2 linked regions of the Nothobranchius furzeri genome follow. The protein of the gene in region 1 interacts with the protein of each later gene in a pairwise test. Links are inferred from orthologs where the notes say so. Each region holds a gene or a part of one and is shown in the gene's direction. Other genes may lie near its edges.

Region 1 (2,816 bases):
GTAGTCAGTGCAGGTTTAAATGATACAAATCCAAACATTCGAAACATAAACAATATGTAAACAAATCAAAGAAACACCACTTGTTTTCTCATATACTTGTTTTCTTCTTTATCAAAATGAAAATCTAAAACTCCAGTCCACACTTGACTTGAGCACTGTACAAGTCAACCTTAAGAAATATGTATTTAAAATAAATAGCCACTTTAAACAAATTACTAAAATAACTACTACACTATGTAATCAAATCCAAATGTTCAAGTATAAATGGCATTGAATAAGTAAACAAATCAATGACAAGGAACTAATTGTATATTTCTCTTCATCATCAACAAATAAGATGCTTCATCCAGCAACAGGGTGTCCGTGACACGGTTTAAATGCTGGCAGAGGACGCTGCGGCTGCAGCATATAGTGACTCGTTGCATTCTCCCTCAACCAAAAGTCCTCACGTCATGCATTTAAGCTAAAATGCTAATGCTAACTTACCTTGCACTGGCTGTAGAGACGTGAGTGATCGTCACACAGATGTGCCATTAGATTCAAAGTGCCTTCTGCAGACACTTGTTTCCTGCACCTTCTGCAAACGGGATAGCAGTCTTCTATTAACTGTCCCTCAGCGTTTTTCAGAAATCCAAAATATGCCCATACTTCCGATTTAGTCTTCTTTGAGGGCTGATGGATGTCCTGGGCGCTGCCGTCTCCTCCTTCGGCCGTTATTTCAGCTTCAAAGTTTTGGTTGCAAACTAAAAAGTGCGTGTGCGCGGGAACTTCAGCAGAAGCGACGGTGGCTGGTAAGGGTCACCGCGCCTAAACCGCGGCCACGGTAAACCCACCGAGATAATTTAGTTTTTTAAAAACTGGACTGTTATTTTTATTGTCAACTTTTTTTACCGTTTACAGCTATACCGGTTACCGTGACAACCCTAATCCAGACATTTGTATGATTCAGCTCTCAGAGATCACCGTGATCAACACGTTGTTAATAATTCTTGGAGAGAAATAGCTCGCACTGTCGGAAAAGACGAGGACGCGGTTAAAAAATGCTGGAATGCCATGTTGTAAACAACAGTACTTTCTACTTCTACTATGGTGTAGTGTTGGATGCATGCTGTAGAGCTCCATGCTGCCCCCTACAGTTTGGGAGAATATTGGCTCACCGCAGAGACAAGCCGCATGAACCATAAACGCTGCGAGTTGTGACGCGCGTTCCATCCGCGAGCCGCATCACCAAGCGGAAAGTAAATGCATCAAGCATAAACCAAGCTTAAAACTCTGGTAGGGGGTGACTTGCTCTTTAAATCAATATTCTACAATCTGTTTCAGTCACATTCACCTCCATGTGATCAGCCAGGACTTCGACTCTCCCTGTTTGAAGAACAAAAAACACTGGAACTCTTTTACAACCGACTACTTCATGCCGTCTCACGGTGAGAACAAATATTGAGTTTTTGGTAGCTCAACAGTCTTGAAAGACGAACCAAAACACACATCTGGGTTTTTCTTCCTACAGACGTCATCCGGATGCTTGAAACAGACGGGAGGGTGACGGTTAAAGAAGGCACCAGTGAGCTGTTGAAGCTGCATCTCCGCTGCCACGTGTGTCACAGAGAGATTCCCACCATACCTGCTCTGAAGGAGCACATCAAATCTCACTTTTCCAAATGACACATTGGTTTAAAGAACTTTACAAGTTCTTTGTTCCTATTTTGTAGAAAAATGTTTAGTTTCAGCAAAAACTAAAAATATTCAAATAACAAAAGTGTCGATTATTTCAGTTGAATTTTTAACAACGTGTCACATCAGGCATTAGGACAGTTAAGTCCAAGTTGTTTTTGTTACCATTATCGTTACATATGCTGCATTAAAGGCTATCTAAGAGCTAAATTCTGTTTTTTCTCTCGACATGAAGCATATTCAGGAATTTTTAAAAGATGGCTGCCTTATTTACAAAAGTTAATTAATAGTGAATCACAGAAAATTTGAGGAACTGCAAACCTAAGCCGGTGTATTGCTGCCCCCTGCTGGTTTTTGTAGGTTACATCATCCTAACGCGCGAAGCGTTCAAATTTGTGTCCCTAAACAGCAACTGTTATTTCAAGATGGCGCAAAGCTGGAGCGTCGACCACGGGTATGTGTCTAAAATGTAAAATTAAAAGCTAATAGGAAGACTTAGAATAAACGCTGGTGAGTAATCTTAATTAAAAAGAACAAGTCTGTGAATGGGTTACACAGAATATGATAATAAACACACTGAGCCCAGATTACATTCACAAATTCCACCTGTGTTAAAACGTTACATCTAATTCAGCAAGAAGTCATTTTTAACATACAGTGTCAATACTTTTCAGCTCTGCATTATCTCTGGTAAAATGATACACGTTAATTTTGATGATCAGTTGTTTTGCTGCCAATCAAAAAGGGCCGTTTAGAGGCGCTTGTTGTTTTATTTTAGTGACATTTTGTTCCTTTGTCTCCATCTAGTGTTTAATGTGATGTTTGTGACATTTCGATTATAAAGTACCAAATCATTGCTCTACGTGGGACTACTCATGAATTGAATGCCAAAAGAATCATAAGAAAGTTTAAAACAGTCAATGGCCCATTCAACGGTCAAACCCACGAATGTATTAACACCAGATTCTCACCTGCTGAGATAAAAAGCCATGTTTAGACCGACACAAAGGTAAAACCATACACATATAGGTATAAATGAGTTTTTTTTGTTCCTGAACTGAGCAAATGTGTAATCAACGCCTTTGACTGATTAAATCTTATTTGGACACAAGACAAACATTTTAAAATCAATAAACACAGTA
Region 2 (4,040 bases), about 42 Mb from region 1:
GAAACACTCAGAAGAAATACAGAAGGTGAGAATACATCATACATAATGAAAGATGTTTTTTTTAACTCCCCTGAGTAAGAATCAGATCAAGGAATAATCAAGAAAAAGGCTTTACTTTAGTTGAGATTAAAGGTATTCCTATCAGATGATCCCACTCTGATCAAAACGAGTATGCCTGCAAATTTAGGTAATCTTTGAAATTGTCTTCATTTACTGGGGAAATTCCTCTCTGACCCATCCCTGAGGAGCAGTGAGCTGCTGTTCAGATGGTAACTTTCTGAGTTTAGTATCTTGCCCACGTGTACAACCGCTCTCCCTGTTCAGTCACAACTTCCCCAATAATACATGCCTGCAGACATTCACCCACACCATGAGGCATCAACATGAAGATATATGAGCTTCACTCATGCACACATTCCTCCTCAGGTTGTCATTTTTTCGTCAACACCCTCAGCCTCTTCTTTGGAGGACCACGTTTCTATTAAGTTGCGTTGTAATAATACCGGTATGTTTGAACGATTACATTCCTGACAAAGTCCAATTTATTTAATTGATTCATTCCTTTATACTTATTATTATATATAAACACTGAAATTTTGAAAAGACGTCTGTTATAAACGGTGTAAGGGTAAAATGGTGTAGCATTGTGGACGCCGATAGGGAGCCTAAGTCACACCCATCTACTTCTGGACCATGGGTCCCTGGAAGAAAGAAAAAATGAATGCAAGTTATTTTCTATTTCTGCTTGTTATGTACCATGGATTTCACATATGATGTCCGTGAACTTTAAAGACTCAGTCTGATGCCAAGAACTCGCTTATTTTCGAACGGAGAGAAACACCATTTTAGATTTTGTGTGAAAATAAGCCCAGGACTACAAATGTGAATCACCAAAGTGACATCATCGAACCAGGCACGGATAAAAACAGAGAGAAAATGGCTGTAAGTTCAGAAAACTTCAAATCCTTCCTTCAGGAGGAAAGAACCACCATAAATATGGCCATGTGGTAAGTAGCAGCTACGCTAGTGGAGAGGAGATTCTGAGGTCACATATGCAACGTGCTGATGTCTGATTTGTAGCCATGCTAATTATGAACTTTTACAAGCTGATAAATCTCAAAGTATGTGACAGGTGTGGTCGAAACACCCGACATTACTTTTCATTTAAATAGCAGTACAACATATGTGCGATCCAGGGTCTAAGGCAAAGTGGATTAGAAAATAGCTCTTTTAGCCCCGTTGACTTGCATTCATTTTTTTGTTCTTCCGGTGACCCAAGAGCCGACTGGAAAGGGAGGAGACTTAGGCTCCTTTTTAACTTTACTGTAGTGATTAAATGTTTTACAGCACAAATAACATACAAAATATTTTTTATACAGTAGGAATTAAAGGAATAATGAAATATAACAGTAATTAGTACTTATTCAATCATAATGGGTTGATGAGATTTGATCATTTAATTCTGGTTTAGTTTACGTTTGAAACTGCTTCCCATCCTTTAGAAACATGGGGTTGTAGTGAAAAGCAGTGTGAAGCAATTTATAAAACTTGTCTAAATCCAGCAAGCATTTTCAAAGAAAGAGTGACCCATATACCATGGCTACTGCTGATAATGTACCAAAGAAACTAGAAAACAAATCAATCAGCCAAATCCATGAAATGAATACATTTGAGATGCTTTATTTTTTATGGATGAATGTAGATGTGCAGATCCAGACACCGTTGTTTTACGGGCTCAGGCGTACTCAATAAATAAAGGTTTATTTGTGTCTGCTGTAGTTCAGACTGGGCTGTGTCCATCTGAAGGCCGTCTCGGAGCCAGTGGAGGCAGTAAGGCAGGTGCTGATCCACAGTCTGCAGCGAGGAAACACTCTGCAGCAGCGCAACCACAAACTGACAGAGGAGAACCAGAGGCTGAGACGAGAACACCAGAGCATCACTGCACAGTAAACACATACGCACACACACACGTGCACAGCAAACAAACAAATCCCGCTGCTTCAAGGTGACATATAGGCCAGACAGTACCATTGCTCAGAAACACTGAAAGGCTACGAATTGGTGATGTCGGTCGCGAACAAAACGACTCTTAGAGCGGAATGACTTACTCCGACCCCCTATTTGAGTTTCACACAGCTGCAGATGTCACGTGAGGGAAACAGCTATTGGAGGCCAGCTCTTATCTGTCCTCTGTGAGCCTCTTAATTATCAGGTTAAAATGTGAGATCACAAATATAGTCAGATTATATCCGGATAAGAATCAGTGTGTGTGTGTGTGCGTGTGTGTGTGTGTGCGTGTGTGTGTGTGTGCGCCTGCGTGTCTCCTCTTCCAGGCTGAAGGGCTACTCTGAGGGTAAAGAGGCCCTTGAGGCAGAGCTGTACTCTCGGTTTGTTCTGGTCCTCAATGAGAAGAAAGCAAAGATCCGCAGTTTGCAGGAAACCGTCACAAACCTGCAGGAAGCAAAGTACGTTTTACACATTAACCATCTTTACAAGTTTACCATCGGTGCACAAACTCAGCATGCTGAGGTGCCTCACATTTTCTTCAGAGCTTCAGATGCTCAAAAAATGTCTTTGATTCTGTATTTATGACATTTTCTGAGTCACTGAGTTTCTTTTTAAGTTTGGCGGTGACCTAAAAAGCTTTGTATCATTCTAATGTGGCTCCTCCACAGGACTTCTGATGGACAGAGGAGCAGAGATTCTGCAAAGTCAGACCAAACAGCAGGTCAGGGTGGTGAGGTGGAGGAGGATGAGTATGGAGGCAGCACTGATGAAGAGCCAGAGGACGTGCAGCCAACACCAGTTCCTGATCTACCTTCCAGAGGTACGATAGTCACTTTGCTGTTCTCCAGAACACTCATATGATCAACTGGTTAACCATTTAGTGTCACCAGTGGTAGGTGTTCACTAATGATTTCACTTTATCAGATAACTGAATGTTGCCAGCAAGCAGCAAATGCGAGTTTACTGAAATTATTGAGGGGGATTTGATTTTACTGGACAGATTCTTGTAAAGCTCTAACCTGCTGATATTTTGGTAAGATCAAATGTTTCTTAAAGTGTTTTGTAAAGTAGGAGTTGGGTATATATATTTGAACGCGTTCACAGTTTCCAGTTAAATAAATCCAGCTAGTGAAGCAGATTAAAGTTGAAAGGCTCTATATGGCTATTAATAATATCTGTTGAGAATCTATTGTTGTTTTTTCAGTGTCAGTCTTTTATTCTAGATCACATTTTCTAGTTTAGTTATTTATTCAAGATAAAATAATCACTGATGAAATCTTTTACATAGAGCAGATGACCGAGACGTTTTTGTCTCAAACTGGAAATCTAATAATCCAGCTAAGCTGATATTTTCTTTACATTAAAAATATATAAACAGATGTATTGTTTAACATCTGACAGCTATTTATGTGTCTGTCGGTCGGTCTTTATTACAACACACCTACAGGTTTATGCTCCAGTGTTCTTTGGGTGCTTTAAATTTTTGAAAATGTTCACTTTAATTTATGTAGTTTTAGGTTTTTAAAAATACTTGACCTCAACTGGCATTGGTTGAAAACAAAATAATTGACTTAAATGGTAAAATAATCATTTTGAGCATGAACATTAAGCTGGGGTGGAATGACCACCTACAGTATGTGCTTCGGGCCAGTGTCGGCTCTCTAATGGCACTGACATGATAAGCCAATGATCTGTAAAAAATCATTTTTGTCTGTCTGCCTCTCACACCTCTTGTGAGTTCTCTAGATCTGTTTTAAGCACCTTACATGTTTTGCAAATAAAGAGTCCTCATGAATCTCTGATTGCTGGTGTGAATTAGCATCTGTCGCTGGTGCATTCACAGACCGGAGGGGAAAATCATATTTTTGAGTTTCATAACGACTCACGCCGAATATCTGCCAATTCTGATCACCAGTCACGTTGTGGGTGCATCTCTGTATGTAAGTTCTGATACTGTCTCTGGATGATCAATCTGTAAGAATAATGAGAATAAAAGTTTAAATTTAGAATTTTAATAAAGTTTATTTATGAGG

What was found. The genes of interacting proteins can lie anywhere in the genome.
Region 2: the proteins of aptx (region 1) and xrcc4 interact in binary tests that used the Homo sapiens proteins (3 or more experiments, as listed by UniProt). The link is inferred for Nothobranchius furzeri from reciprocal best matches to the Homo sapiens genes APTX and XRCC4.

What each region holds. Positions count from the first base shown.
Region 1 is NC_091746.1:79,988,870-79,991,685, reverse strand, and holds the end of aptx (aprataxin), read left to right. Parts: intron 1-1,323; coding exon 1,324-1,427; intron 1,428-1,510; coding exon 1,511-1,665; 3' UTR 1,666-1,884; downstream 1,885-2,816. UniProt on the Homo sapiens protein: DNA-binding protein involved in single-strand DNA break repair, double-strand DNA break repair and base excision repair.
Region 2 is NC_091746.1:37,558,734-37,562,773, reverse strand, and holds part of xrcc4 (DNA repair protein XRCC4), read left to right. Parts: intron 1-1,779; coding exon 1,780-1,946; intron 1,947-2,333; coding exon 2,334-2,465; intron 2,466-2,675; coding exon 2,676-2,827; intron 2,828-4,040.